Linked DNA regions of Alligator mississippiensis. The protein of the gene in region 1 interacts with the protein of each later gene in a biochemical or structural test. Links are inferred from orthologs where the notes say so. Each region holds a gene or a part of one and is shown in the gene's direction. Other genes may lie near its edges. The genes, in order: DRAP1 and DR1.

Evidence for each region.
Region 2: the proteins of DRAP1 (region 1) and DR1 form a complex in vitro, tested with the Homo sapiens proteins (2 studies listed by BioGRID). The link is inferred for Alligator mississippiensis from reciprocal best matches to the Homo sapiens genes DRAP1 and DR1.

What each region holds. Positions count from the first base shown.
Region 1 is NC_081838.1:4,270,270-4,286,689, forward strand, and holds DRAP1 (dr1-associated corepressor), read left to right. Parts: upstream 1-8,460; 5' UTR 8,461-8,528; coding exon 8,529-8,570; intron 8,571-9,609; coding exon 9,610-9,682; intron 9,683-9,850; coding exon 9,851-9,944; intron 9,945-10,695; coding exon 10,696-10,821; intron 10,822-11,410; coding exon 11,411-11,501; intron 11,502-11,819; coding exon 11,820-11,905; intron 11,906-12,119; coding exon 12,120-12,273; 3' UTR 12,274-13,089; downstream 13,090-16,420. Other genes in the region: RELA (transcription factor p65), read left to right, coding at 378-512, 821-925, 1,111-1,323, 1,455-1,535, 2,086-2,187, 2,562-3,154; C15H11orf68 (UPF0696 protein C11orf68 homolog), read right to left, coding at 5,715-6,440; phospholipase A and acyltransferase 2, read left to right, coding at 14,523-14,720, 15,053-15,122, 15,430-15,659, 16,047-16,181. UniProt on the Homo sapiens protein: The association of the DR1/DRAP1 heterodimer with TBP results in a functional repression of both activated and basal transcription of class II genes.
Region 2 is NC_081828.1:33,506,590-33,522,184, forward strand, and holds the start of DR1 (protein Dr1), read left to right. Parts: upstream 1-9,376; 5' UTR 9,377-9,711; coding exon 9,712-9,931; intron 9,932-15,595. Other genes in the region: retinol dehydrogenase 8-like, read left to right, coding at 234-327, 2,041-2,224, 5,011-5,232. UniProt on the Homo sapiens protein: The association of the DR1/DRAP1 heterodimer with TBP results in a functional repression of both activated and basal transcription of class II genes.

The sequences.
Region 1 (16,420 bases):
CTGCGCGTTCAGGCTCCCCGGCCTGCTGCCCTCCCCCCTGGGCACGGCAGGGCAGAGCGGGGCTGGGAAGCTCAGCGCTGCTGCGGCAAGGTGCCCTCTGCTCTGCCCCCTGCTGCTGCTGGGGGGCAGGGGGTGCCTTGCCATGGCGGTGCGGGGCTCCCAGCAGCAGCAGACCGAGCTCGCCCGCCCCACTCTGCCCTGCCCTGGCTGCCAGGTGCTGGGGGGCACAGCAGGGCAGGGAGCCCCCACCCTGCGCACAAAAGTGGGATAACCAGGATCCCTGCTGATGAGTCTGCCCATGGTGGGGGGGGCCTAACTGAGAGGCGGGGCCTATCCACAGAGGGCAGGGCCTCACCCATGTGTCCTTGCCCCCACAGTGTCACTGGAGGAGAAGGGCGAGTACGACCTGAACGCCGTGCGCCTCTGCTTCCAGGTGTGGGTGCAGGATCCAGCCGGCACTGGGCACCTCATGCTCTTGCCCCTCGTTGTCTCCCAGCCTATCTACGACAACCGTGAGCCTGGGGGGCGGGGCTAGGAGGCCTGGGGGTGGGGCTGGAGCTGGTGGGGGAGGAACTAGAGTTAGTTGGGACAGAGATGGATGGGGTGGTCTGAGACCCAGGGGGTGGGGCTTGGGGCAGGAGTGGGCATGGCTAGAAGGTTAGGGTGGGGCTAAATAGGATGGGGGTGGGCTGGTGTAGGTGTTGGGGCAGGGGAGGAGGGTAGGCTTTCCTGGGCTGGGGCTATTGGGCCAGAGGGTGGGGCTACTGGACCAGGGGGTGGGGCTAGAGCTGGGGGGTCCTGACCTGTGCCCCGCCCCCAGGGGCCCCCAACACGGCGGAGTTGAAGATCTGCCGGGTGAATCGTAACTCGGGGAGCTGCCGGGGGGGCGAGGAGATCTTCCTGCTCTGCGACAAGGTGCAGAAGGGTGAGTCACCCCGGACGCCTGGACTCCCCCCGGTGTGGGGAGGGGAGTGGGCTGAGCAGGCACAGTGCGCCGGGTCCCCTGGGTTCTCTGGAGGGGGACGGAGGCCTGGGGCTGAGAGGGGAGTGGGGATGAAGCAGGGGCTCTGTGAGCCTGGGGGTTCCCGCCCTCACTCCTTCCCCCTCCAGAGGACATCGAGGTGCGGTTCTTCCGGGATACGTGGGAGGCGCGTGGCTCCTTCTCGCAGGCCGACGTGCACCGCCAGGTCGCCATCGTGTTCAAGACACCGCCCTACGCCGACCAGGCGCTGCGCGAGCCTGTCACGGTGCACATGCAGCTGCGGCGCCCGTCCGACCGCGAGGTCAGCGAGCCCATGGAGTTCCGCTACCTGCCCGAGGAAGGTACCGTGGGGCAAGGGGGCGTTACGTGGAGAGCCCAGAGCTGGCTGCACCGGGGGGCCTATGCTCCGGGCCCGATCCTGGCCTGGGGTGTCTGCTCTGGGGTGGCCCCCTAAACGCCCTCCCCGCCCCAGGTGACTTCCACTGCATCGAGGAGAAGCGGAAGCGAACCCGCGACACCTTCAAGAGTTTTGTGCAGAAGACCCCCTTTGCAGGTGGGTGGGGTTGGGGAAAGGGGAGGGGCTTCTCCCTGGAGCAGGCTGTAGAAAGGGGAGGAGTCCGGGTGGGGGGCTTCTGCCTGGGGGTGGGGCTGGGGGGGGAGGGGAGTGGCACTTGGTTGGGGGCAGGGCTTGGGAAAGGGGAGGTGCTCATGGCTGGGGGTGGGGCTTGGGAAATGGGAGGAACTCCTGGCTAGAGGCAGGGCTTGGGGAAAGGGAAGGGGCTCCTTGCCAGGGGCTGGGTCTAGGGGAAGGGGTGGAGTCCCTAGGGGCTGGGTTTAGGGAAAGGGGAGGGACTCCTGGATGAGGGGGTGGGGCTGAGGAAAGGGGTGGAGTCCCTGAGGGTGGGGCACTTGGCTGGGGTGGGGCTTAGGTGGGGGGGTAGCTGAATGCCAGGGCTGGGGGTCTGAAGGGGAGGAGCTTAGGGAGAGGGGTCATTGGAGGAGTGGCCTACAGGGTTGTGGGGGTGGGGCTGAGGGTGTCTGGACTGGCAACTATGGGGGGAGGGGCTGGGGGTAATTAGTGACCTGCTTCTCTCTGCGCCCAGCCGCGGTGAGCCAGGAGCCACGGCACCCGCGGCGCATCGCCGTCCCCGCGCGCCCGGCCATGGGGGCCCCCAAGCCCAGCTCTGCACAGCCTGGCCCGAGTGGTAAGGGGGGTTGTGGGGGGCACACTTGGGGGCCCTTGATCCTGCCCAATCCTTGGCAAAGTAGGGGGAGGGGGCAGAAGGGTCTTGATCTGGGGGCAGTGGCTGGGGTGTGGAGGGGGGCAGGAGGGCCCAATCCTTGGTGGGGGGGGTCCCTGAAGCTCAGGGCTGCGGCAGGGGGCCCGGATCCTGAGGGGGGTGGGAAAGGGGGGCCTGATCCTGCCATGGCTGGTTCAGAGGTTGGCCCTGAGCTGTGAAACTGGCTGGGGAGGTCAGGGGGACACAAGGGTGGAGGCCTGATCCTGGGCTGGGGGCGCTGCTCTGACCCCGCCTCCAGGCTTTGACTCTGCCTCTTCCCCCTCCCTCCCTCCCTCCAGTTCTTCCAGGCATGGGCGGAGCCCCAGCCCCGCTGCCCCAGCCCCAACTGAAGCCCCCCAGTGCCTTCCCCTTCGCCGCCGCTGTACCCCGGGGCCCGCCGCCGCTGCAGGCCCTGCCCCCCGCCTCTATGGCAGCCATGGGCCCGCCCCCTGTCAACACCTTCAGCACAGTGAACCTGGAGGAGTTCTCCAGCCTGGGGCTGTCGCCGCGGCCCCCCGGCGAGGCGGAGACCCACCTGGCCGACGCGCTGCTGCAGCTGCAGTTCGAGGGCAATGCGGACGGGCCGGGGGGCCTGGACCTGGACGCGCTGGTGGACGACGTGACCTACACCAGCCTGGAGGCCATCAACACGGCCGAGTTTCGGCAGCTGCTGCAGGGGCAGCCGGGGGGGGGCACCACAGAGCCCGGCCCCCCCATGCTGCTCTCCTACCCCGAGTCCATCACGCGCCTGGTGAACAGCCAGCGGGGGGCGCCGGACGGCGAGGACCCAAGCACCAGCAGCTTTGTCAACGGGGCGCTGGGCGACGAGATGCTGCCCTCCATGGGCGACCTGGACCTGTCAGCGCTGCTCAGCCAGCTCGGGTCGTCCTAGGCTCCAGGCTGGGCCGGGGGGCAGAGGGACTCTGTTGCCCCCCCCACCCGCACGTGGGGGCAACAGAGAGGGGTTGGGAGCTGCACTGCCCCTTCCCTGGACTCTGAAGTTGCCCCCACTTCCCATCACGTGCGGAGCTGGGGGCTGAACTGCCCCACCCCAGAGGGAGCTGAAGGATGGGGGCTTGAGGCCTCCATTGCCCCTGCTGGGGGGCTGGACTCTGGAATTGCCCCCCTCCACTCCAGATGGGGGTGAGAGCTCAGTTGCCTTGAGTGGGGGGGCTGGATTCTGGAATTGCCCCCCCTTGGACTCTGGAATTGCCCCCCACCCCAGATGGGGTAAGAACAGGGTGATGAGAGCACAATTGCCCCTGCTGGGGGCTGGAACTCTTGGACTCTCACACCCCCCCCCCCCCCAATTCCCACCTCTGGGTAATGAACTACCCCACCCTCCCAGGGGCTGGGGAGGCTGGAAAGGGGTAAGTGGACTGCACTATTGTGTGCAGGGGGAGGAGAACCATAGTGGACTGGACTACTGGTTACAGGTGGGGGGGTCAGAGTGGACTGAACTAGTTGCTGGGGGAGAGATCAGACTGAACCATTGTTTTCTTGGGGGGAGAGTGGATTGGCCCATTGCTCTCCCTGGGGAGGAGAGTGGGCTGGCCTATTCTCTGGATGGGGGGGAGCAGTGGTCTGCCCACTTGCTCCCCTGCATGGCAGGAGGCTCTGCTAGTTTTGGAACATGGACTGGCTCATCGGTGCGGGGAGGGAGTGGGCAGGCCCATTGGTCATTAGCTTGAAGAGGGGGTGAGTGGGTGGACTCATTCTTCTTGGAGGGGGGAGGAACCATGTGGCTCCGCCCTTAATGAGGCAGTGGACTCTCCCACTTCCTGGGGGGGAGCAGATGATACTGCAATTGGCTGCCCTTCCCTAGAAGGCAGGGCATAGAGCAGCCAATCGGAGGCTTGCTTTGGTTATGGGGGGAGGGAACCTGCCTTAGAAGACAAGCATTAACCCCTTCCTGCCATTGTACCCCACACTGTACATGGCAGGGCAACTGGTCTCCTTTGCCCTGGGGGGGGGCAGTTTTTGGGGCCATAATACTCCCCCTCCCCTTTGCATTTTAATGCTTTGTGCCTTGTTGGGGGGGGCTAGCTTTAGGCCCCCCCATTTTGACTTCCATTACTTGTATATGGCTGAGTTGGGGGGAGGGGGGAGTTAACCCCAGGGGTGCCGAGCTGCCTGGCCTGTATTCTCACCTGACCCACCGTACCAGGGGTGGGGGGGACAGATTTAAAGCTTATTTTTATGCCGCTAATAAACCCGAGTCAAATGCGGATCCTGGGCTGGCGTCTCCCTGCTGCGCCCAGACTGGGGATGACCCCGGGGGGAGGGGGCTGTCTCTGCTTAGTGGGACCAGTCTGGGGCAGGGGATTTCAAGGGCCTGTGGCCGAGATGGGACGGGGGTGAGGGGGTAGAGGCAGGACGCCTGGGTTCTCTCCCGGGCCTGGGAGGGGAGTGGATGCTGGGGTAGGGCAAGAGCAGGGGAGGCTGGGAGCCAGGACACGGGTCTGGAAGGAGGTGGAGGGGAGACTCAGATCCCTTCCTCCTCGGGCTGCCATGACCCGGCAGAGGCAGGCTTGGAGACATGTAGGTGCCTAAATCCCTTGGGCCCTAGTCTGGGATGTCCCCTCTAGTACCCCAGAGCCAGGGGTCTGCAAAAGCCTTGGGTGGGGGGGGGGAAGAGGAGGAGCCAGAGGGAGTCAAGAGCTGCTGATTGGCTGGAAAGGAGTCATTTTTATTGAGCTTTGTGACCTCTTGGAGCTTTAAAGGGCCACTGCACCAGCCTCACTGCAGGGCTCTGCATGAAAGGGGCAGCACCTTGAGAAAGAGCCCCTGCTAGGGGGCAAAGAGCTGTGGCACTTTAAAAACAGTGGGTGGGGTGAAGTGGGGGGCAGAGCCCCTCCAGTACAGGGCCATGAGAGAGTTAAGCTGCCAGAGCTCCTGGACCACACTTCCCAGCAGGCCCTGAGCCAGGGAAGTAGTGCATGCTGGGACTTGTAGTCTCCACCCCAGCCCCAGCCCAGCCTGTGCATGGGGGCATGCCTACTAGCCCCTCCTCACCTAAGGAAGCAGTGTAATACTGGGATACAGGACCTCAGCCGCACAGCTCCAATTCAGGGGAATCAGACCCCACAGGAGCAATGCATGGTGGGACACACTGCTCCAGTCCAGGCAGGGCCAGAAACCCCCCCCCCCCCCAAGCAGTGCATGCTGTGACATGTAGCCTCACTCCCACTTCAGGTGAGGGGGGCAGACAATCTAAGGGAGGGGCAAGACCCTACACCCCACACAGAAGCAGTGCATGCTGGGATAAATAACCTCAGCCCCACAGCTCCAGTCCAGGGAGGCAGATAGTCCAAGATAGGCAGAAGGGGACAAGACCCCCACCCCCTCCACAGGAGCAGTGCATGCTGGGACACAGAGCCTCACCCCATTACTCCAGTCCAGGGACAGGGGGGTGAACAGTCAAAGGGGGGGGCCGGGCCCCCCCACAATGCTTAAGTGACCTCGGCATTGGTAACCTTGTTGAGGACGCGGGAGCGCCGGGGCACGCACTCCAGGTCGAAGCGGCTCTCGTAGATGGTAGGGCAGAGGCGCCAGCGGTTGTCGCGGTAGATGCCCAGGTAGGTGTAGACATCGGGCTTGTAGGCCAGCGGGCACTTGACGCCAGCAGCCCGGATGGCAGCGTCGGCAGCTAGCACATGCTCCTCATCTGTGAAGTCATCCGTGTAGACACACACCACGTGGCGCCGTTCACCATCAGGGTGGCAGGGGCTCACCTTGGCCACAGTGAAGCGCCCGTCCAGCACGGCCCGGGCCACACCAGCCCAGGCGTGGTCCACCTTGAAGCCTGTGTCCAGGTGGATGAGCCACTTGCCCGTGAGCACGCCGTGGTTGAGGGCCAGCTCCCGCACTGTGGTGTGGGTCACGGAGCGGCCGCTCAGCTGCAGCCGCTCCCACGCCTCCTGCAAGCCCACCACGTCACCCGCCTCAGGACTGTAGCCGGGACCATACACGGCAATCCAGCCCACGGGCCGTGGGCCATAGCGGGCCACACGGGAGGGCGGGTAGGTGGCCAGCCATGCCTCAAACTCGGCCCGAGGGGTGCGCCGGGCATCAAACACCACCCACGGGTCCATGTCGGCTGCCATTGACTCGGCCGCCAGCTGCTCAGCTGAGAAGGGGCCATCCCGGCCCCCGTCGCCCTCATCCTGGTCTGACATAGCTGCTGGGTCCTGGAGCAGGCACCTGCCAATGCGGGGGAAGGTAGGGGGGAGGTATGGGAAAAGGTCAGGTGTCACAGCTGCCTTATGGGAAGGCTGGGAGGCAGGTGGGCTAATTAGTTTGGAGTGACAAGCTTGTTAGGGTGAGGAGCGGGCAAGGTAATTAGCTCTGAGAAAGGGGCTCTAGCTTTGCACTGGTCAGGCTAATTAGCTTAGGTAAGAGGCAGGCAGACTAATTAATTCTGAGGAAGAGGCTCCCTTGTTTGGCAGGGGCCAAACTAATTACCTTAAGCAGGGGGCAGGCAGGCCAATTAGTTTCAATTAGGGAGGGCAAGCTAATTCAGGTATGGTGCAGGTGGGCTAACTGGCAGGTTGAAAGGCTCATCAGCTTCACATAGGACAGGCAGGCTAATTACCTGGTCAAAGGGGTTTATTTTCAGTAATTGCCCTAGGTTTGGGGCTAATTCACTCCATCAAGGGGCTCTTCAACTTTGCACAGGAGCAGCTAATCAGCACAGGCGGGTGGGCTAAGCTGACTGAAGAGCCTGACTGTTTTGGGAGCTACCGTTAGGGGAAGGCTGCTTAATTAGCCCGAGGATAGTACAAGCGGGCAGGCTAAACAGCTCCAATTGGAGGGGGATGGTTAATTAATTTAGGGTGCAGGCAGCTAATCAGTTGCGATTGGGAAGGGGGCTGGTTAATTAACTTACAGCACAGGGCTAGCTCCTCGGTTGTACGTTTAGCGTTGGTCGGGGGAATCCACAAGCCAATTAACCGAGCTATTAATTGGCTAGCAGCAGGGCTGTCCCTAGGGGGAGGTGAACAGAGGCAACTGCCCTGGGCCCCATGATTTCGGGGCCCCCATGGAGCAGCAGCTCTGCGTCCAGCCGCTCGCTGCACCCCACCAGCCTCTTTGGGTCCGGGGCCCACGGGAGCGAAGCAGGGGCAGGGCCCCGCACCCTGCTCGGGTCATCTCTGCCCGGCAGCTCTCTGCCCGGCAAGTAGCCCCAGAGAGCTGGGCTGGGCTGGGGCTCAGGGAGCGGGAAGGTGAGGGCTCTTTTACCCCCTGCCCTGCGGAGAAGCCCTCCCACCCCCAACGGCTTCTGATTCTGCCCCCCCACCCGGGGCAATCAACCCGCTCCCCCCAGCTGCCTCCACCCCAGGGCACTCAGCCGTGGAGGGACCCGTTCTGCCCCTGCCACGGGGGCCGCCTTACCTGCGGCAGAAGAAGGGAGCCGGGGCAGGGGGCTGCTGCCTGGTGCTGCCCTGGGGGAGAGAGGAGGCAGGTTGAGGCCGCCCAGTACGGGGCCCTGCCCAGCACCAGGTGCCCCCGACGTGCCCCCCAGCCCCATGATCAGCCGGCCCCGCGCCCCCAGCCCCCCCCCCCATAGGAGCCCCCCCAGCCCCATGTGCCAGGCCCCCTCCCCCAGTCGCTGCCCCGCCCCCGTGCCAGGCCCCCCCAGCCCCTCCCCTAATACGAGCCCCCGCCCTCACCTGGCCCCTCTCAGCGGCCCGCGGCCGCCGCCATCTTGAGGGAGGGGGCGGGGCCGAGCCCGGGGGGAGGCAACGGGGGGGGTCGGACGGGGGAAACCGGAAATGGCAGAAGCCGACACGGAGGTGCACGGAGGGTGAAGCAGGAAGTTACGTCTGGACAGAGGCGGAAAGGAGCTGCTCGGGAGGGGAGGACTTCCGGGAGAGGAGGGGGAGGGGAGGGGCTGCAATGAAAGGGCGGGGCCTCCGGGGGCGGGGCCCGGCTCGAAGGTTGCGGGAGGTACCTGGACAGCGCGGGGCGGAGTCAGCGAGACTAGGGGCGGGGCCCTCCCTGGCGGCTGGGGGAGCCCGGTGTGGGGGTAGGGGCGGGGCGTCCCCAGGCCGGGTGCGGGGCGAGCCGGGAAGGCAGTGTTGGGACAGGGCGGGCGCGGGGCAGGGGGCGGGGCCAGGCTGGGATGGGCGGTGCTAGGGCGCGGGGCAGGGGGCGGGGCCAGGCTGGGCGGGCGGCGCTAGGACCGGGCGGGCGCGGGGTAGGGGGCGGGGCCAGGCCGGCGGGCGGCGCTAGGACCGGGCGGGCGCGGGGCGCAGCGGGCCGCGATGCCGAGCAAGAAGAAGAAATACAACGCGCGGTTCCCGCCGGTGAGCCTGGCCCGGCGCCTGGGGCCCTTCCCCATCCTGGCGGGTGGGGGCTGCAGCCCGGACGGCGGGGCCCCTCGGGCGCCGGGTGGTCGCGCCTGGGCCCCTCCCTGGGCCCCCCCCCGGACGCCTCGGTTCCTTTCCGGGTCGTCCCCCCCCCCCGGCCACCCTGACCCCAACCGCCTGTGACCCCTGACCCCGCCCTAGCCGGCCCCGCCCCGCCCCGCCCATCCCCCGGAGCCTGCGCCCCTCTGGCCCCCTTCCCTGTGACCCCGACCTTCCGCCCTCGCCCCCCTCGCCCCAGGGCCTGTGACCTCGGACCTCGCAGCCTCCCCCGGGCCCTTCCCTCCTCCGGGGCTGGCCCCGGGGTATCTGTGGGGCCGGGCGGGTACGCGGCCCCCTGGGCTCCTTTGAAGACGAGGGCCTGGCCCGCATGCCTGGGCCCCTTCCCGGCACCCAGCTGCCTGGGGCCCTTTCTGGGGCCAGGGCCTGGCGCCCGGGTCCCTTCCCGACACTGGGGGTTTGGCAGCCGGACACCCCGGTTCCTCGTGGAGGCTCGGGCCCGGCAGCCTGGACTCCTTCCTAGGGCCGGGTCCAGCGCCCGACGCCTGGGTTGTCTGGGGCTCTGGGGGGGGGCTGGGGGGAGAGGGGTGGGAGCCGGGACACCTGGGTTGTCTCCGGCTGTGGGAGGGGGCAGAGGAGGCATGGGGGATTGCAGCTGAGTCTGGGGTGGGGGCACGGGGAGAGGAGGTCCGTGGGGGGCGTAGCGTAGAGGCATCTGGGAGCCCCCCGGTGCTGGGGGGGCGTGGGGCCCAGTGGATCAGAGCAGGGGAGTCTAGGAGCCCGGCTGCCTGGGTTTGATCCCCAGCTCGGCCATGCGAAAAGGTGGAGAGCTGGGATGCCGGGCACGTGGATGTCTGGGACCTCTGTCGGCTCTGGGAGGGGAGTGGGAGGAGGGGAGAAATAGCCCTGATCTGGGCCTGATCCTGGGGGGCTCTAGCTCAGGCTGCCCCCCCAGCTCTTGACCTGTTCCCACCCCCAGGCGCGGATCAAGAAGATCATGCAGACGGACGAGGAGATCGGGAAGGTGGCGGCTGCTGTCCCCGTCATCATCTGTATCCTTGGCAACGCCTGGACGCCTGCCTGGGTTCTCTCAGGGTCTGGGAGGGGAGCGGGGGCTGAGGGACCGGGCGGATGCCTGGCTTCTCTTGGACTCGGGGAGGGCAGTAGGGGCTGGAGCCCGGACACCTGGGGTCTCTCCCTTAACCCCTGCCTTGCCACAGCCCGGGCACTGGAGCTGTTCCTGGAGTCGCTGCTCAGGAAGGCCTGTCAAGTGACGCAGTCCAGGAACGCCAAGACCATGACCACGTCCCACCTGTGAGTGCCCCGGGTCCCGTCCCCTGGGCACCTGGGTGATCTGCCCGCTCCAGGAGGGGACTGGGGTCTAGGGGATTAGAACAAGGCGTGGGAGGGATCTGGGCTCTCTCCCTGCTCTGGAAGGGGAGTGGGCTGGGGGTGAAAGCGGGGGGGCTGGGAGCCCGCATCCCTGGGTTTCCTCCAGCTCGGGGAGGGGTGGGTTCCAGGGCAACGTTTCTCAATCTGGGGGTTACGACCCAGAAGTGGGTCGCAAGAACATACGAAAGAACAAACTTGAAAGTGAATTCTCCTTTAATGGAGATAAATGTGGGCACCGCGGCTCTTCCCTTGCAGGCGGGCAGAGCTCCAGCCTGCAAGGGGCTACTTGGGCCCTCTGCCCCACGCACTGGGGGCCGGGGCGTGGGGGAGCGGGTTGGGGCTGGCCGCTGAAGTGTAGAAATGGGTCCTGGTACAAAAAAGGCTGAGAATGGCTGTGCTGAGGGATTAGAGCAAGGGGCGGGAGGGGTCTGGGAGCTCTCCCCCTGCCTCACCGTGTCCCCTCTGGACAGTCCCAACCTGGCTTCTGTGCCTCAGTTTCCCCACTTTCAATCAACATGGGCTGGAGGGGCCTGGCAGGGGCTGTGAATCTCCCTGGCAGGGGGAAGTATCCTGCTGGGGGCTGTGGGAGACCTTGGGGATGTGATGGGTTGGGGGGAGGGGTGGGTTGTGGCTTGGCCCTGCCCCCTCTGACCCCCTGCCCCTCCCCCTGCAGGAAGCAGTGCATCGAGCTGGAGCAGCAGTTTGACTTCCTCAAGGACCTGGTGGCCTCCGTGCCCGACATGCAGGGGGACGCTGAGGACAACCACATGGAGGGCGAGCGGGTCTCCCGCAGGTGGGGGTCAGTGCAGGGCAGGGCCAGCAGGGAGTGCTGGGTAGTGAGGGGGTGGAGCCAGGTCTGGGGGGGCAGGGCTAGTGGGAGAGGCTGGGCTGCAGGGGTGGAGCCAGCTCTGGAGGGGCAGGGCCAGAAGGGGGTGCTGGGTGTAAGGGGTGGAGCTAGTGGGGGTGGAGCCAATGAGGAGGGGGTGCTTTAGCTCCACCAGCCCTTGTTGCCCCTGGAAAGCTAAGCAGGGTTGAAGAGGGTCTGTGTGTGGATGGGAGACCACCACTGCCCCTGCTCGGGGACACTTTCCCCATCTAGCACCTGACACCCCTTGGAAGCTAAGCAGGATCAGCTGGGATCACTTTGTGGATGGGAGACTGGGTGCCAATGCCCTGGCAGTAGGGGGTGCTGCAGGGGGGCTCTCTCCTTTTAGGCCCCAATACCCTGGGTGGGGGGTTCATCTGGGCTACCAGGGGCTCCATTGCCCCAAATTCTGAGACCTGCCATGCTGCACCCCAGAGGTGGCTGCAATTTGACTGCACCTACTGGGATTCAACCTGTGGGGGGGGCTCGGCAAGGGACTCTGATGCCTGGTGGGTCTATGCAGGGGCCGGAAGCCGGGCAGCGGGAGGAAGAACGGCGGGACAGGGGCCAAGGGCAAGGACCCTAAGCAGTCGGGCACTGACTCGGAGCAAGAGGTGAGGCGAGGGTGGCCAGGCAGGGGAAACTCCTGGGCACCGGGATGAGGGCAGTGGGAGCCAGGGGGCAAGCCTGAGAGCCCAGACACCGGGGTTCACTCCAGCTGTGAGAGGGGGGTGAGAGCTGGGGGGATGGGCTCCCAGACACCTGGGTTCCCCACACCTCTCTCACACCTGTGCTGCGTCCCTGGGGATGAGCCCCTCCCCTGCCTTGGCCCTCGGTGCCCCCAGCACCCAGCTCTGGGGAGCGCCACCCCTCCAGATGTGTGCCCGGGGGGTGGGGGGCAGGCTCCCCGTGATCTGCCTATCTCCCTCTAGGAGGACTCGGAGGACAGCGAGAGCGACGCTGAGGAGGAGACGTTGCAGACGCTGCCCCCCAGCCGCCCCCCCGCCACGTTCCCCAGGTACTGACCCGGAGCCTGGATTCTCTCCAGGCGTGGCATGCGGGGGCGGGCGCTGGGAGCCAGGATACCTGGGGTCTCTTCAGCTGGGGGGGGGCTGGGGTGTTGGATGCCCAGATGCCTGGGTTCTCTCCCCTTCTCTGTGTGGGGGGAGGCTGGGGGTGGGCCTAGGACTGGCCTATCTGCCCCCATCTTTTTTCTGTCCCCATCCCCTCAGCTCACCAGCACCATACCTGCCCTTCGCGCCCGCTGCGCCTCCTGGGATGACCATGGGCCTGGCTGTGCCTGCGGCCCTGCCCACCATGACGCCGCCAGCGCCCCTGCCCCCTGCCCCCACCCAGGACGAGGAAGACGAAGACTACGACTCGTAGCCCCCCGGGGTCCCTTTTAGATGCTGCATTGGGGGGAGGGGGGCAAGTGGATCTTACGTGTAATTATGGAGTCGGATTTCCCCCTTCCCTCCCCATGGCTGATCATTTTAGGGGTTCCCTGGGGGGTTGAACCCCCAGATCTCAGAGCCTGGGTTGCCCTGTTCTTCCCCCCTCCCCCCATTTCACACCAGCCCAGCCCAGAGTGTGTCCCCAGTCTTGCATCTTGGGGATCCCCCCCTCCCCTTCTCGCCACAGGTCACGGTGGCTGGAAGCAGCTGCTTCTCTCCAGGGCCTGGGGAAGGGGGGGGTGAGAATAGGAGGGGCACTCTCCTAGACAGAAGTGGGGGTGGGGGGGCAACAACGGGCCGTGGGGTGGTAGACAGAGACCCCTTTTGCAGGGCAGGGAGGGCATGGAGTGGGTCCCCTCAGGCTCTCCACCCTGTGCATTGTGGGTGGGGGCCAGGCAGGACCCCTTGTAGAAAGAGCCCCCTATGGGTGGGGGGGAGGGGCATCAGGGATAGGGGATCCCCTACAGCAGAGGCACCCTGAGGGGAGGGTGGGGGGATCCCGAATAGACGCAGCCCCCCTGGCAGGGAGGGGGGAGGGGAGCAGGGCATAGGGAGGGACCCCCTGGGATCCATGGCTCATAGCAGACAGGCAGCCCCTCAAGTGGGGGGGGGGGGGACCCGGGGCTGGGGGCGCTGCTTACCCCCCTTCCAGCTGTGGGGGCGGGGGGGGAGCCTGGGGGCGGATCGGGGACCTCCAGCCCCTGCGGGGGGTTTTGTATTGACTCAATAAAGGTCCGGTTTGAAGCCAGCGGCTGGCGCCACTCACTGTCCGCGCCCGTGCTGCCCCTACTCCCCGTCGCCTCCTCCAGCCCGCCTGACCCCTCTCGGGGGGCGCCTACTGCCCGCCCCTCTGGTGCAGCTGCGGCCGCTTCCCCCCTGCCCCGCACGTGGGCTACTTCCGGGTTGCCCACTGCCACCTCATTGGCTGCGGCGCCGGCCAATGGGAGCGCAGCTTACGCTCCATCCGCTACAGGAAAGCATCGCCACTCCTCCCGCTGTGGGTCTGGCGCTTGCGTCTAGTTGAAGAGGCTGCGTGGTCTTTGCGCATGCGCCGAGCCGGAAAGGCGACGGGTGTTTTGCGCATGCGCGGTTGCTAAGGGGCTTGCGGTAGCCCCGCGCATGCACGGCGGGACGCGGAAGCCGGCAGGTGGCGGCACGTGGGTGTGCGGGGCACGACGGCTCCCACAGGGGGAGCTATGGACCCCCCAGCCCTGCAGATGACACCTATTGGGGGGGACCCCAGGGCCACCCCCTCCAGGGGCAATCCATAGGGCCTGGCCTCACCTGTGGGGGGGTGAGGGGGCTGTGTGTCTGCCCCAGACTCCTGGGGTCTGTCCGTCCCCTGAATGTGTAGGGCGTGCGTGCATGATGCGGATGCCTGGGTTCTGCGTGTCTGTCCCGGGGAGGGGGGCAGTCCACATGCACACATTCAGCTGGATGCCCCGACGCGCCCTGCCCCTGCCCCCCGCAGCCCCAGACACCGCAGCCAAGTCCCACCCCGCCGCCGGCGCCGACCCCCTCTCCTGTGTCCCACGGCACCCAGACACCAGGCACCTCAGTGGGCAGCTTCTCCACGGACCCGTGGCCCTGGACGCTCTGGCCAGGGCCCCCCCCCCCCCGAGTAGGGGTCCGGTCCCGTGGCGGATCTGGCCGCACCCTCAGCTGCCTCCGTGTCTGGTGGCCGTGAGCCCCGTGCTTTCGCTAGACGCTGGGGGAGAAGGAGCTTCCTGGTGCTCGTTTAAACTAACGACCTCCCTTCATGGCCGGCCCCTGGTTCTGGTTGGAGAAGGTCGGTTGTCAAGCCCTGTGGACTGTCCCGTCACCCCTTGGGATCAAGCCTTCCTCACCCCGCACCTCGGACAGGCCAGGCCTCCTTAGTGGCTCCTCACACAGAGGTTAGAGGATTCGGCGGGAAACCAGCACTGAAATCTGCTGCTCTTGCGTCTGCAGGGGCTGGGAGAGACCCACCGGAGCAGCCCCCACCCCCTAGCACCATGCCTCTGGAGGGGGTGAGTACCTGGAGATCGCGCTGGCTTCCTTCGGGTCTGCCCTCGCCAGCCGTGGGCAGGGGCACCAGAGGCCCTCTCCGGCTGGAGATGTTCTGCCGCTGTTGGGGGTAGGGGGGGGTCTCCTGATGTCTTGGACAGGCCTGATCCTGCCTGGGGCAGCAGGTGGGCCTGGATGAGACCCCTGAGCTCCCCCCAAGCCCCTCTAGGACCCCATTCGATGGCCCCAAGCCCCCAGTGTGGCTGGAGCCAGCCTTGCACCCCCAACTCTCCTGAGCTTCTGTCTGGGCAGCCGGAGCCGCAGCCTGGAGACCTCCTCGAGTTCGACCGCGCTGGCTACAAGCACTGGGGGGTCTACGTGGGAGAGGATGAGGTGAGGGGGTGGGGGGGTGGGGGGCTGGGCCCAGCGGGTGGCATCGTGGGAAGCAGGACAGGCAAGGGGTTGGCGTAGCACCTGCTAGACCTGGGGACCTCGGGGGGGGATGCGAAGGCGCCATGAGCCAGACACCTGGGTTCTGGGCGGGGGCGTGGGGTGGCACTGGACTGTGTGTGTGGTGCCAGATGCCTGGATTTGGGGGGCAAGGCAGGGGTCCCGGAGGCCTGGGTTCTGTGTATGTGTGTGCGTGTCCCTCGGGCACCTGGCTTCTCTGCACATGGGTGCGTGCCCAGGCTCCAGCCCTGCTCTGCTCTCCTCCCTCTCCCCAGCCCGGGCTCCTGGATCCCTTTTGGAGGTTCCTCGGCTTCACCCGACCCAAGTGTGTCGTCCACGTGGCCAGTGAGCGCTGGGGCGGCTGCTGGGGTCCTGGGTAGGGGGATTGGACCCCACTCCCAGGCAGACCCGGGTGCTGGAGAAGCTGCAGGGGGAAGGAGAGGGTGAATCCCCCCCCCCCCCCAACCAGCCCCCCTTTTCTGCAGCCAGGGAGGGGAGGCTGCCCGGACCCTCGATCCTGGGAGGTGACGGTGAGGTGCAGCCTGGAAGAGCAAGGGGAGAGAGGTGGAGGTTTCCAGTGTCAGGGGGACTCGGCTGGTGGGGGTGTTTAAAGGGGCCTCGCCCAATTCCTTCTGCCCATGGCGATGTGCAGAGACCCCCCTGGGTGTGGAGGTGCAGAAGGAGCCGCTGGAAGTCGTGGGGGCTGGAGCCCGGTACCGCGTGAGGAACCTCCACAATGGGGAGCTGCAGGCCTTCCCCCAGCGGGAAATCATGGCCCGAGCCAGGCGGCAGCTGGGGCAGCCGTTCCCCTACGACCTGGTGGAGCAGAACTGCCAGCACTTCGCCACCTGCGTCCGCTATGACGTGGCCAGGAGCGCGCAGGTTGGTGGCACAGATCTGGAAGGGACGTCGCTGTCGGAGCAGGGGGAGACGCCCAGGGAGCTGGGAGCTCTGCCATGGGGGCTCAAGGAGAGGTGGGAGGGATGCTTGGGGAGGGGCGGGGAGTCTAGGCCTGTGTTGTACTGGGGTGGGGGGGGGGGTCTCCCAGGCTCTGGGCTGGGCTGGTTGCTCCCTCCTGTCCCCATTTCTGCTCCATGTGTTGGGGTTTTTAAGCCTCCCTCGGAAGGCTGCCAGGGGGCTCCTGAGGTCCTGTCCAGTCCAACCCCTTCCGGGTGCAGAATCAGGCCTGTCCAAACCAGCCCAGGAGACTCCATCGTCCCAGCGCAGGGGTAGGCTGCATCCGGCTCATGGGATCCTCTTGGCTTCCAGGTGGAGAGGGTGAAAGGCATTGCGTGGGCTTTGCTGGATATGGTGAGTGGACCCCCTCCCCCATGGGCTGCTGGGGTCTGGCTGCCTCGGGCTCTTCCCTACCCTGGGGAAGAGGCAGCAGGAGCAGGGCCATAACCCTTGGACTCTTCCAGTTCGAGGCACTGTGGAGCCGCGAGTAGCCACATCCTGCAAGGCCAAGGGACCCGGAGCAATAGAGAGCATGGACCCCACTGCCTCGCTGCCTCATTCTCCTGTCGCATGGTCCTGCCCCCCCCCCTTGCCCCCCACCATCTATCCTGTAAGCGAGGCTCCCAGCATCCTCGGGGTTGGGGGATGCGGCCATGGGAAGCCCAGACACCTGCATTCACTCCCCG
Region 2 (15,595 bases), on another chromosome or scaffold:
CAGTGTATGTGTCAAAAAAAAGATTTTGCCATCCACATACAGTTATTAGGGTCACTTTTAACATTTCAGATATGTTACTGTTAAATTAGCCCAGCCTCAGTGAGGATTTTTTTATGCCTTTACAACCACAAAAAAATTAAGACTTTTTAGAAAATGCAAGATGTTCTAAAATTCAAAATTATCTTAGCATCTTCCATGAGATAAGTTTCTAATGGTTCTGTTTTTGCCTTCAGGTATTTTGTTTAATGATGTATATGCTGCATCTAAGTTTGCTGTGGAAGGATTCTGTGAAAGTTTAGCCATACAGGCACTCCAATTTAAACTTCGGTAAGAATTGATTCGGAGATGTGGATGGATTTCAGACTATACTTTAAAATATATCATGAGTTATAATTGGTAGTTGTGCAGCAACAGCAGTTTTATAGTGGGCTCTTAGCCAGGAAAAAAAGGATAAAGAATTTTTCTTTAACTGACCTTGTGGAAGGTATTCATGTACAAAAATGCACTGAAACCTCCTTGCATAAGCTCCTTGCCTTCCCCACTAAAGTACCGAAAATGTTTATATGGCAATGTAAAGCTACCTTTAGACTGGACAGCATAGGTACTTTGAAAATATGCGTAGTTTATGTGCACATCCCTGGGAACATGCACTCTCAATCTACAGTATTACAGGGATGTTGTTATAGACATGCAATATGTTTGCCTCAGTATATTTTATCTAGTCTTTGTGCTCATTTATGAGAACTCCCAGGAGAGGCTTAAATTAAAATAATTCTTTAACATTTTTATATGTAATACAGGTATGTACAACCATTTCCATAGCATTCAGTAGGAATTGATCAAGATAGTGAGGGAGATAGCTACAAGTCAAGGACACAGGATAGCAAAAATTATATAGAGAAAAAGGGTGTGGTGTACATGGCAGGGCCTAATTTTTTAAATATAGCTACCCTTTTATTTTAATGTTATTGTTTAAAGAGTTAATAAGATGTGTATGTGTAAGTAGTTAACTTGTATGCAAGAGCAGCATTGAGCAGACTGCAATTTGGGGGTTCTGCTTTACAATTAATAGCATGATACAGCCTAAAAATTAGGGTGAAGTATAGGTATTCCTTATCATGTAACACAGAACTGGAATTACTAAGGATCTGCTGTTGCAAAGATCCTGTTCAAAGAGGAAGTAAGTACGTTTTGTGAACAGAGAGGTAAAAAAACAGTTTTGTAAACTGAGATGCTTAAAAAACAGATTGGAACTGGAGAAGGAAGTGGTTTAATGACTTAATGTAGTTTTGAAATTTGCTGTTATGGATCTCTGGGCAAAAAATGACCTCCTCCAGCAAGCCCATCAACAGCAAAAGTCTGTGCAGATGTGCTAAGTATTTATACAGTTCTTAGTATTGCACTATAAAGTGCTTCATAAGGCACTTTATACTGTACCAGAGACTCAGACCAAAGAGACTCAGCTTTTGAGTTCTTTCCTTCTCTCTTTCCTTCTTTCCTTTCTGCCTTTCTTGCTTTACTTCTGCTCTTATTAGCATGTGAAACTCTGATGAAAAGGTCATTTATAATTTTGTCCAGAAGACAGTGAAGTTTATGGTTGTCCTTAGCTTTTTGTTGCAGAGTCCAACAGTTGTGAGGCAGCACAACCCTCCTTCCTTGGCCAGCCTGGAACACGTGTTTCCTACCCCTCTAGCCAGTCTGGAATGTGCACGCCACATGTGGCACAATCGCAGACTGGGCAGGCACATGGCACAAATCCTGGACAGGCTGGAGGTGGGTGCCATAGGTGCCACATGTCCCAGAGTGGGTACCACATGTATTGAACATCCTGGACTGGCCACAGCAGGTGCTGCATGTGGTGCACTTTCTGGGCCCTGCATGTAGAGCTGGTGTGGTGGTGTGTGGATCACCCGAGACCCAGTGGCAGCACTGGGATCTGGCCTATGGGCCATCTTTGACATTGTTTGTCTATAAGAATGGTAGAGTTGCATGTTTCCCACATAGGAAAAAAACACTAATATAGTTTTGTTTCTGGAATAGGCTAAGTTTGATTGAACCAGGACCTGTGATCACAGAATTTGAAAAAAAGGTGTATGAAGATGGAATGAAAATGGACCTTTCGGCTGCAGATGAAGAAACAGCTCGTATGTTTGCTGATGTTTACCTTAAAAATTACAATCAGATTTTTCAAAGCCTGGGACAAAGTGCTGAGGAAGTTGCAGAGGTATTCACTGGTATTACTTTGTACAATATAAGAATCCTGTAGTTGTTTGCTTATAGAACTATACTTAATTGCAAAATTATTAGATTTAGAATTTAGAAAAAGCGTAAAATTCTTCAGGTTTTAAAAAGTAAGTATGACTTAATCTTTAATACTATTAAATAGAGAACTGTAACAACTCATCTCATGAAACCTTGTGGATTACAGTGTCACCTGGAGTCGAGATGAGATTTCTGTCACTGAGGGACTGGTATATTCTGTGGCTTATGTAGAGCTTTAGAGCAAGTCAATCTCTGCCTGAGATCTGTCCATAGAGGGGAAAAGTTGACACCATCAGGGAAACTAGAGGTTTAAAAATTGTGCTTTGCTCATGGTGTCATAGAATTCAAAGCAAAAATTCATCTAGATGATGATGGACAGCTTTAAAACAAGAGTACATCTTTAATACACAAAATACTAATTCAGGCCATGGTCCTGCCTTAGAAGAGTCCGTACTCCCATGCTTCACCATTTACTTCAGTAAGGCGCTACATGGGTGCATAGGTCTGTCTACATAAAGAGTTGCAACATCAGGAAGCCTGCAGGGTCCCGCTAACTTACTGTTGACCTTACAGACTATGATTCTTAATGATTTTTAGTAGGGCTGTCAGTTAATCATAGTTAATGTACTTGATTAACACAAAACAAATTAACGCATTAATTTTTGTAATGAGCATTAATCACACGCATCCATTTTGACCAGGGGTGGGCAAAATATGGCCTGTCCCACACCTTCTTCGGACTTGGCCTGGTGAAGCAGACCAGCTTTGGACCAACCGGAACGCATTTGCACAGCCCTGACCTCGGCCCACCCTGCACCTGCTCCAGGCCGCCCACCCACTCTGAGCAGAGGCAGCAGCCAGGCAGAAGCTGCTGCTCAGCTCGAGGGAAAAGCGACTCTTCCCCCTGCCTGCTGCTGGGCCCTTCTTGCTGCAGCTGCCCAGAGCCTATGCCCGGGCTGCCCTGCGGCTTCTCTCTGCCACTGTCACTGCTGCCTCCAGCCCACACATCAGGCCAGTGGTGGAAGTGCAGAGGAGCAGTAGGGCAGCCTGTGTGGGCAGGTGCAGCAAGAAGGGTCTGGCAGCGCTGAAGGGGAGGGGTCGCTGTTTCCCTGCACCGAACAGAAGCTTCTGCCTGGCCGCTGCCACTGCTCAGTGTGGGCCGGTGAGTCTGGAGCAGGCACAGGGTGGGCAGGGGTCAGGGCTGTTTACACAAGTTCCAGCTGGCCTGCTCTGGCCAGCAAAAGTCCAGAGTGGGCATGGGGCAGGCCAGGGTTGGGGCTGTTGGTGGTGGTGAGGGAGAAGCCGCAGGGCACAGGGGCTCCAGGCTGTTGGGTGGTGGGGGTTGGGGGGTGGTGCTGACTATTGCTTAACTGTGTGATCAAAATTGTGATTAATTGCAACTATTTTTTTTAATCTTGCAATTAATTATTCATTTTTTTTAATGGTTTCTCATCCCTAGTTTCTAGCTTTAGCATGTTGCTCTTCCCAGTTAAATTACCGGAGCACTGACTTCCATGGGATGAGAGTTAGATCCTCACTGTGCACATCTGAAAATCCCACACACAGTATATTTTAAAAAACTGTACTTGTTTTAAATAGAATAAGGCCCCCAAATTGCACAGCAGTCAGTATACTGTGTGTAAACTGGCAAATATGAAGTGTCAGGCCCTCTTTACATGCTTCAGGTATCTTGTATGTAGCTAGTTGACCTTGAGACCAGCTACACATGCAAAGTACCTATCATACTATAAAAAGCTTCAACCTGCTATAAAGTTAGACACAGGGATCCGGAGTCCTGCAGCTGTGGAAGCTGAAACCCAGCTGGGTCCCAAAGCCAGGGGATGCAGGTGCCTTGGGGGTGTGTTCAACTCCTGGGGCTGGGGGATCACAGCTGCTGCCATCTCTCAGCCTCTGGGGTTCATGAAACGCCTGGGGCTGGGGGATTGCAAGTTATAATCCCCTAGCTCTGATGGTGCATGGGATGCCACCACAGCTGGGAGCCCCTAAACTGAGGGGGCTCCCATCTGCCACAGCTTGCTTCTTGTTGGTGCAGGGGGAGCCTAGGATTGGATTCCCTCTGTACCAGCAGTAAGGGATGATGGGACCTAATGCACAATCCCAGAATCACACCTCCTGCCATGCACATGTGCAGGTAAAGGTGTAAAGGTTTAATTGCTTATTAAATCCTGTCACACCTTTACCTGCACATGTACAGGGGCCCTCATTCTCACATTTGATACGACATATAGTATCTGAATTAAGAATTTTTGCCTCAGCCTTCATTTTTACTAATTTCACATTTTGTTCACCCAAATGACATGACTCAACAACTCATATTGGTATAGATCAGTTAACAAGTCTGAAAATGTAGTTGATACATACAGCCCAGTTGCAGAGAGATCCCTGATGAGAGATACTGATTTTCATGTACTCTGCCACTGATCTCGAACTAAGTAGATTTTTTATATTTTTGTGTAGTAAAACAATTGACGATATTATCTTTTAAAATTGGAAAATAAAACTATGCTACTTGGCCTCAAAAGGAAACAAGTTTATATAGTTTCCAAATAATACTAAGCAAAAGCCTTAATGCATTTTAACCACATTCAAATATGGTCATATTTCCCAGGGGAAATTGGAAAACTCTAATGCTTGCTCTACCATTCTGCTTGGTGAAAACCAGACTTTTACATGTTTACTTTGATAAATGATATTTTGTAGTTATGGTCCCATTTCTCATTTTTACAGCACACGGTAAAGATAATTCTTACAGAAAATCCACCCTTTCGCCATCAGACCAACACCTTGTATACCCCAGTAACAACTCTGAAATATGCTGATCCAAACGGAAATCTACCTATTGATAGCTTCTACAAAATGGTTTTTCATCATGACAGAATCTTCCATGCAAGTCTTAACTTTTTCAAACTGCTGAGATGGAGCAGTAGAAAGAACATTGCATCTATTTAGTTGATATATCAACATTGGCTTATTTTGAATTTAAAGTTCCCAGACCAGTATTTTGAAGATAAATGCTCTTGCCAGATCTGTTGTTAATAATTTTGGTTATCTTCTTTATGTACAGTTGTGCCTCGTAAAAATATTAGACTTATGACTATCAATATTTTGAATGTCTGTAGTCAACATTTATTGGAATTAAAAGTGAAACCTCCTGAGAGCAGTACAAAAAAATCTTATTTGTAGAACCTTATTGTAATATATAAGTGCTTTGCTAATAGTCTCAGGGGTTTAGGTTGTAGCCGTGTTGGTCTAAGGACATAGGCAGACAAGGTTCCTTGGGTGAATTTGGTATCTTTTATTAGACCAACCCAAATAGTTGGAGAATATTTATTAAGCAAGCTTTCGGATTCAAAAACTCTTCGTCAGGCTAAGGAAGTTTCAGCAGTTGGTGTGTGCTCTTCCTAGTGATTCTTGAATCACCTACTACCACCTAGCTCTCTAATACTGTATTTTAGAGTGTTAGAACAAGCTTGTTGTTAATAATATAAAAGATGTACAGATTTTTAAAATTGTCTTAAAATATAGTAACTGGAAAGTTTAAACAACTGATGTGTGTTTTAGTTTTTGTATAAATAAAAGAACATTGAATGTGTTATTTTTTTAAATGATGCTGCTACTCCTAAAGGGTCAAATTCAGCTTTGATATAATTTAGTAGGAGTCAGTGCAATTATCACAGAAATTAATTTGACCCAAGAAGCTTAAACACAATGCTTTGTGTATTTATAATCACTTTTTTATAATATCTTATGGTTATTTCCTTTTTTTATTAGGAATACATCAATATAATGAAGATTTTCCAAGCTGGCACCTAAAACTGGAGACTCTTAAAAATCCATATTTAGTTTTCTAGATAAATGCATTTAGATTTTCAAAAGCGCTGAATACATGCATCTCCCACTGACTTAATTGGGAACTTAAGTTGTTCTCTGTATTTGAAAACAAGACTCTTTTTACCTAGGTGTTTAAATATAGGTTTAGCAACCTACAGTTTCAGGCACCCAGATTTGAAAATGCTGGTCCTCAGCTGTCCTACATTTACTGCTATATTTGAATACCTGTAGTAGTCTGTTAAATTATGCCAGTTCCACTGACTAGTTCTGACACATCCTTGGGTTCCGCATACAAAGTCAGGTTTTCTTGTTTTATTTTTACACCTTGGCTACATTGTTAGTTTTTGAAAGGCGATATTTAGAATCTAAAGCATGTTCCTCAACAAACTGGAATTTTGAAGTTGGGTAAATTTTAAAAGTAATTTCCTATAGAGTGCTCTCTTAGACTTCCATAAAATTCAGCTTCCTGTACAAACTCCTACCATTTGCTTTTATGTGATTGGGCTCTTGTGGATTAACAGTGGTGGTGATTCTCTTTTGATTTTTCCCCAGCTATCACTGATCAAGGAGTCTTGCAGAAGAGACTCCTGGCCCTGGGCCTTATGTGATAGCGAGGGGCCAGTTTTCTGGCCTCTTAAATACAATGTCCTGGGTTCCAGATGCTGCTGTATCATGGGCAGTAACCACTGTCGAGTCTCACAGGGCAAACACTTGGCCTCAGGCTCTATATAGTACAGGCTATAGGCCTGCTGTTGGCGGGCTGTAAATTCAAGTCTCTTCTCTGTGGTGCCTTGCCTGGATGAAGTGCTGTCCCATCTGTGACCGTGACTTTCTTTTCTGCCCACCTGAACAGAGTGGGATCCATCTCCCAAATCTGCCTGACTGCTGCCACAGCAGGAATGCACCACGTTGTAGGGCCTGGTTTGCAGCCACAAGCCTCCTCAGAGGTGTGGGGGCCACAAGCCAGGCTTCCCCTTGCCCCCCCATTTGGGGTCTCTTCAAACTATAAGGGTGGAATGCTGTATTATTGGAGGAGTCTAAAATTATTCTGTGAGTTGCCTAGATGGTGCCTTGTGGCTGGGGCTTGGTTTGCTCCCCTGGGATCTTACCAGTCCAAGTGGATGTGCTGGGAGGTCCTAGCAAAGATCCATAGACGTGGCATACCAAATTGCTTGTTGATCACCCAAGCACAGAGTCCTGAGTTCAGCTCAACTGTGTTCCTTTCTCCTCCCCCTCTCCCTCTTTCCTGGCCAGTAGGGTTTTTTTTCCTTTAATTTGAATTTTCCCCAGTCCCTTGAGTTATCACTAGTCAAGGAGACGCCTAGTCCTGGGCTTGCTGGCTTCCTGACCACAAGGTCCTGAGTTGTGGATTCCACTGTGACTTGACCATACTAGGCACCTTAAAACTAGCATGTCCATGGCACGTTGGCTTCTTCAACCTGGCTGACAACCCATCTGGGAGAAGGAAAATTCCCAAAATTCAGTCTCACTCCCTGGCACACAATATCTGTTGATTGGTGATAATGTCCCCATTTAAAATTGTGACCATTGTCACAGACCAAATTAAATATAGCTCCAAATCTGGATCAGATGCGAGAGATATTGACATATTCCCAAGCATCTTGCAGTTATCCTTTAGAAGAGGAAGAGATCAAGCCTGTGCAGTAGGCCCCACAGCTGCAGTTAAAAAAGCAAGTGGAAGAGTGAGTAATGAGAACTGGTACAATAAATGCTGAAAGCATTGCAGGCAGGAGAGAAATAGTAAACCTCTTGGAAATAAGGAATGGGCAAGCAGGTTGATTATAATAAACACAAGGGAAGGATAGTAGTGTAAGAGAACAAGGAGCAGGATATAGGATCTTCTCTAATGCAGAAGAGAGTTGGAGTAATATTGCATGGCAGCCTTAAAGGCAGTGTGACTGAGTTCCCAAGTGACAGATTGATGGCAGCTAAGTTTGTGATGCCGGAAGGAATGTTGAACATATGCGCAAAACAAGGGGGCTGCAGAGAAGAAGAGAAAAAGGCTGCAAGAGTGCCTCTAGAATCCAATAAGAGCAATGAGAAACTGGATGTGAATGGACGTTAGAAAAAGAAATGAAGGGTTTAAAGTAATGTTGGAGGAATGAGTAGGGAGTGAGGAACAAGGATGGAGAGAAGATACTGGAAATGGCTGAAAACTTGAATATGTTCATTGCTAATACTGCATACGTGTGCTAATTGTCACTTACACAAATGGTCAGAACAAAAGTCAAATTGTTCTGGTCTTGGGAGCAGGTATAAGATGTGCAAAACAGATTCCCTAAAAGTATACTGGTGTGGTGCTGCTCATGGGAAATGCACTAAAGTAAATAACGTCACTTTGTCGACAACGCTCCCATTCTCGATCTCTCAATTACATGCAACAGAAATCTAGAAGTTTGTCATAGTGAAAGTCATAGCCAACAAATGTTTCAGCTTTATGCTTTTTTAAAATACAGTGCAAACTGTTTGCCAAAAATGCCTTTAAGTTGGAACAAACACTCATAGCATCAGTTTACTGAAAAGGTTTTCTAAAAGGTAAGTTCCCCAGGGAAATTCCTGAGAGTAGTGCCTAGAAAGCTAGGTTCAGTGTGGTCCTGGTAGGAAAATACTGTATTCCTTGATATCATGCATCTAAAAACTGGGGCAGCTAACAGTACTGTTTACGGCCGGGGCATCCAAGTCCCTGGGCTACGAGGCTCTTTCCAGGCAGGAGCCACAGGGCCAGCAGCAGCTACAGCAGGTCCAAGGGCAGCAGCAGCAGAACAAGCAGGGTTGTTAGCACAGCTCTCCGCACCCTCCCACCTGCGGTGGCCATGTCCAGCCCCGGGCAGGGCCCTGCCGGCTACCCTGGCTGCCACCAGGTCCTTTGAAGGGTGCGCGGACAGGCGATGGGTGAAGACGAGCATTTGCGGCCAGCTCAGGCTCGTTCCCGCCTGGACGAGGCCCCACCCTGCAGGGCCCAGAGGCCAGCGGGGGCTGCTCGGAGTCAGCGGCGCCGAGCTGTGCCGCAGGCCCCGTCGCTGCGCCCGGGGGCGGGGGGGTTTGGCGGGCGGGACCCGGGACGGAGCCGAGCGCCCGAGGAGCTTCCTGCTACGCGGCGCCCGCTCCCGCCACCCGCTGCTCCCAGCCGCTCCGCGGAGCCTCACAGCCCGACCCCGAGCCCAGCGGGCGGGGGCTGCCCCCACTTCCGGGCCGCGGCACAGGGGATCCCGGAAGCGGAAGTAGCCGTGTCCGGCTTCCGGCGGAAGTGGCGCTCTCGCAGGCTGTGCCCCGCGTTATCGCGTTTCCCTCTCGCGGCCGCTCTCAGCTCGGGGTGTCGCCGCCGCCAGCTGAGCCGAGCGCGGGCTCTTCTGCCGCCGTCTGCCCCGGGCCCTGGTCATAAGGCGGCGGCGGCGGCCGGCATGGCCCGAGCGCCCGGCGGTGGTGCGTGAAGGATGTGGTGGCGGCAGCAGCTGCGGGAGCCCTGAGCGCGCCCGGCCCCCGGGCGGCCGGTCGGTCCCGGAGCCGCGAGCGCCCCGCGCTGGATGTGAGGAGCGAGCTGCCGCGGGGTCGGAGCGCGGGAGCGAGCGAGCGAGCATGGCTTCGTCGTCCGGCAACGACGACGACCTGACTATCCCCCGGGCCGCCATCAACAAGATGATCAAGGAAACTCTCCCCAACGTGCGCGTGGCCAACGACGCCCGCGAGCTGGTGGTGAACTGCTGCACCGAGTTCATCCACCTCATCTCCTCGGAGGCCAACGAGATCTGCAACAAGTCGGAGAAGAAAACCATTTCCCCTGAGCATGTCATCCAAGGTGGGCGCCCGTGGCTTCGCTCCCGCGGGGGCCAGGGTGGGGCAGGCTGCCGGGAAGCAGAGGTCTCGTTACTCTGCCCTGCAGAGGCGGTGGGGCTGAGGTGACAGATATAGAAGCCGTGGCAGTCCAAAGTCAAATAGAAGCCGGGCAGGTCCGCACCTTCTAGACCAGTGGCTTTCAACCTTTTTCATACCAGGACCCATTTGTAAACATCCGTGGCCAGTCCTACTCTGGACCTGCTCTCACCAGCCCCCCTGTGTGTGGGGCAGGGGGTCCCCAAAGCAGCCCCTGGAGCTCTGCCAGCCTGCAAGGGAAGAGCCCCCCTTCCCCATGTTTTTCTCGCTTAAAGGAGAATCCATTTTTAAAGTTTGTTTCTAGCTGTTTCACATGTTCTTGCGACCCGCAGGTTGAGAAATGCTGTTCTAGGCCAGCCAAAGAGGACAGATACATATAGCAGTCCAAGCTTTCAGGAGCTGAAGCTTGCCCTCCCTCCGGGGCTGATGAAACCATAGTGGGGATTTCTCCCTTCCAGGCTCTGTTTTGTGTCTCGCTTCCTGGAATGCCTGGGCCAGGTGCCGAATCCTCCTGTATGCATGAGGTGAAGATGATCTTGGCCAGCAGCCATGCAGGCTGCTGCTCCCCCATCTTCCTCACAATGATTTGAGATCCAGTAATTGGTCTGAGGTTGCATCAGAAATGGGGGACAGGGGGATGACGCAGGGTTTTCAGTGAGGTCCAGGTCTTTCATTTCTGGATGAGAGTCCAGTCTAAGTGATGTAGTGAGGAGGGTTCTGGGATTCTGACCAAGCTGTCCTTGGACCAGCTTGGCAATTTCTGTATTAATTTCTGGTGTAGTAAGTGTGTCAATTAGAAATGTGCCCTTGTGTTCTCTGACATTTGGTTCCTACCCCATGTGGCTGCTGAAAATGAGTTTTTCTAGGATCATTTGTCCTCTTTTGACTACTTCCATAGCTGCTACATGCTCTCCTGTCTTCAAGGATGATGCTAATTAGGGTGGCTGTTTCGTAAATTACCACAAGTTTTGACAGTTTCATTACTGCCCACAGAGATATGAGGAGTAATAGTGAAAGTGAGTAGAGTTTTAGTTTTACTCTGCTACTGCTTGACAAAATTGTGAATGGCAGCAGCATAACCAGAGTGTTATCTCCAAGTCCAGAAAGACAACCAAACCATGCATTTGTAGCAGTTCCTTTTGAAAGCTGATTTATGAAGTATTAATGAATAATTGAAATAATCTAGATTATGATGGTTTTTACCAACTCAAGTCACTGAAAAGCTTTCCGTTTGCAATTTTTAAATGGATTTTTCACGTCCAAATTATGGTGAGCAGGTGAATTAAACTTTGTTGCAATAAACAAATCTTTGAAACTATACTTTGTGGTAGCATTGCCTGGAACTTGGACTCTAGAAAGTAAAACTCATACTTAGAATGTGTGTGATACTTCTTGTATGCTTTTGTGCTGATACATATAGTTGCCTCAAGTAGTCAACAAAGGGACCAGCACCATTTTTAAACTAGGAATAGTAGTGAGGATTAAGAAGCAAGACCAAGTGAAATCGGGAAATTGAATTGGGAAAGGCTGAAGAGTGGGTAAGATTGATCCTGTGGACAGATTTAATTTAAAATCATACTAATTAGTTTACCTTTTGTGCACAGTGATTATTTTTGGTAGGAAGTATATTCAAGGGGTTTGTATGAGGTTGGATACTAAAGTGAAGTGATGCACACAAGCATGTCTGTAAAGTATTGTCCCTGGTGTTTTATTTCATTTTATTTTTTTAAATAAAAAAAAACTTTAATTCCCAACTATCACACTTAGGGCCTGTTAAATATGGTAAGGAGGGTTTTATTGCCATAGAATTTCATATTATTCTTATTTTCCTTTTTTTGTTGTCCTTATTTACTCTTCAGAAGTGCGGGTGATGGTGGTAGTTTCACCTGTTCCTCCCATCCCTGAATCAGAAGGGTTTATGTCATTAAAGAAAATAATGTAACTTTTCTATAAGTGGCATATAATTACAGTATTTTCTGTTCCCCATAATTAAAGTGTTTGGGTTTTTTGTTTCTTCTGCCTTACATTGAGTTTTCTACAATAACTGACAACATTATTTGAAATTTTAGAAAGGTCTGATCAATTTTTTGTAAAACAAAACAACCCCCTGCCACCCCACCCAAAAAAACCAAACCCTGTTTTTATCTTATGGTACTGATGTGCTCCAGTAATTCTGGCATGTCTTCACATTCTGTTTGGATTTACTGCTTAAACCAATTTACTTGATACTGTAAAGAGGCTTGACTACCCTTATTTTGAGGCTCAGCCCTTCTGTTCTTTTAAAGAAGATGCCATGTTTGCTTTCCCCCCTAGTTCTAATATAGTAGCTAATTTTAATGAGAACCTGCATTACTGCTGCTGTTAGTAGCAGTTCAGTCTCTTTCACATCTCTCAAATCCATTAAACAGCAGTTGTAAAGTTTTCCTTCTGAATTTTATCACTGTTCTAGCACCACTTGTGAGACGCTCTAACTTCTTCCAGCTTAATTTGTCAAAAGAGATGATCTGTGGTAGGTCTACCTTTTCTTGCAGTAAACACTGGTGCACAGAAATCATCTGAGGTCTCAGCAAGGTCTTTATCCTTGATTACTCCTTGTGTTCACTTCTAATACAAAGGACTGTCCACTTCTGTAATCTTTCTTTTCCTGTATATTTATATAATTCCTTGGGGTTTTTTATGTTTGTTGTTTCCTCTTCAAAATTTCTCTTATCCTTAATCTTACCTGCCACAATTTGATCTCTTATTTGTTGCTTTGCTCAGATTAGGTTTCAGTTTTCTGAAAGTTACTTCTTAAACCAGAAACGTATTATCTTTTGCACGGCTATGTTCTGTTTCTAGCTGGGCTGCTTTATTTGTTCATGTGCCTGTGTCTTTGTTTTAAGCGGTTTACATTTAGAGTAATTTATTTTAATTACCTTCTGGGTATTTTGCAGGCTTTTTTTCTGAAGTTCAGTAGAACAGTGCTAAATTTTGGCATGATTCCTTTCAAATCAAGTTTAGTCTTTCTTTGAATTAATGGACGTAATGTTTAAGTTTTTGAGGGGCAAGATGCTGCAACTGGATCTTTGCAGGCAGACTCACTGAAAATCAATAGCAAATGTACTTATATTGTACTCTGCTTAATGCTGATAATGTAACTTCTTGATCTCAATATGCTGAGGTAATACTAAAATGTATCCTGTTGTGTAACAAATCAACTTGGAATTTGTGCGAGTCTCTACATACACTAAAACACTTGTTTGGAGGATTTCATTATTTATTTCTTAATGTAAATAGTGTATGGCATAGGCAGTATCTAAGATGCAAGTCCACAGTTGACATGTCCTATTTATTCCTTTCAATTTATTAAAGTGCCACAAAGCCAAAGGTGTGCTGTACACAGATAAAAGATTAAATACATTAAAAAGTGTCTCAGACGGCTGGAGCCGACTTGAGGAGGATCACTGATTACTCAGCCGTCAGGCGGGCTGGTGGATGGAGAGGCGGGACATAGCGTATTGGTTGCAAAATAACTTTTACTTTAACTTTACTTACGCCGCTGGTGGCCGCGACGCAGGTGGTAAGGTTGCTTACGTAGTTACAGGTAACGAGTTGCTTGCATAGTTACAGGTAACTGGAAACAAAACGAGCCGGCGAGTTTGTAGACAGAAACGAGCATGCAGGATGAAGGATACATCGGGAACAGATGGTGACAGGGAGATGTTGGAGGATGGCCAGTCTGCCAGCTTTTCTCTGCCACGTGGCAAAGTTCTCCGTACTCTACCACGTGCTCAGAGCTCTCCAACTTGGGCGGAAGCTGCACGGATTTTTATACATTTAGAGTAGCCAATAACAGACTGCCAGGTGGGAATAGCTAATGAGGCAGAATGTACCAAATTTGCGGTTATTCAGGGCAGTTGTGTTGTGACAGGGGCACTCAACTCATTTGGTTATGACATGCCCCCTTGACCATGTCACAATAGACAAGGGAATTAGGTTACAAGTAATTTTCGTCTAGGAACTCGTCGTCTTTGCAAGGTTCAAGTGGTAAATGGGTATATACGTAAGCAGATAGCTTAATGAATCACTTTTTAACAAACTGGAAAATACAACAACCCATACATACAACAATGGCTATTACGATTAATGGTAAACACAAGGTAATGAGGGGAGTTAGTAAATGCATTAACCAAGATGACGTGTCCCATCCCATCCAGCCGAAAATGTCGGCTAACCATCCCTTTCCGATCCCAGCGACGTTGTTGGTGTCTGCGGCAGTTTGTTTTATGTGGTCGAGCTGATCTTCTAATGGAATAGTAATGTTGGGTATGCTAATACAACAGTGTTCCTTAGACAGGTTAAGGAATTGACACACGCCTCCCAGATGTAGTAACATCGCGTCGAGGGCTAAGCAGTTTTGCATGGTCATGTGCGATGTAGCCTGTAATTGATGGTTTAATAACTGCAGGGATGTTTTGGTACTATTGGCTAGAAGCTCAACTTGTTCAGCTAACTTGGCAATAGCGACTCTCGCCTTGCCTATCCCTATTCCCCACGCAAAATAACCTTCAAGCGCCCACACGAATTTTTGGTTGAATTTCTCTTTGTCCGTTAACTCTCTCCACACCGGAGCGTGTCGCTTATGGCGACGAAGTACGGCCGGACTACTCGGGTGAGATGTGTCAACACTTAAGGGGGGGCAAAGCATTACTGTACTCAAAAAGCATTGGACGCCCGTTAAGGCGGCCGGGAGGTTAGTGTAAAGCTGCCTGTCCGAACAAGCCCATAGCAGCCCTAAAGGGGCCGGCGTACTAATTAATGCACAGCTTTGACCTTTCCAATTAATTAAAGCTACCTCGCGAGGGAGATCAACCGTGTTGGCGAGCGCATCGTAGCCGTGGCACCACTGACTGAGTCTGGCCACCCTTAAGATGGGGTAAAAATACGAGCACCAGTCTTGGGCATCCGATACATTGATGGCTAGCGACCTGTTCCAAGAGACTAGAGATCGGGGCCGCTGAAGGATGGATGGAACCAGGCCAGACTCATCTCGTGTCCTTGTTTTGTTCGGGCCTGGGGGAAGGGCTAGCTACCATGTTGGAGTAATGGCTGTGGGGTTCCAGGTTAACGAATTATCGTCCCTCGACTACTTTACTCCTTCTGGGTTAATCCCCCATGGTATCTCTGAACACGCGATGTTATAGAAGAGCAGGACGGGGGCAGGCGGAAACATAGCCTCCGATCTGCAGACAGAGTGGTTCATGTTAGGTAGGGTCAAGTTACGTGGCCAAGAATACCGGTAATAGATGGCATGTTGGCGTCGTTGGTATGTAAAACTATGTTGGGCTACCGTGATATTGGGGTTCGGATTGGTGTTCTGGGCTTTAAACCACTTATCAACATTAAGAGGGTATACAAACGGGGTTAACACGGGGTCGTTAACAGAAAGGGGTAGGCGTAAGCATGCGGTGAGTCCTGACTCGCTACTGTCTCCCGTGATGTTGGCCCAGAGTGATAAAAGGGACAGGACCAAGTTAGAGGTTGCGAAGTCAGTTCCATTCACCGAGGAACCCGTTGGGAACACCAGAAGCATGACGATGATCCTGTTCAC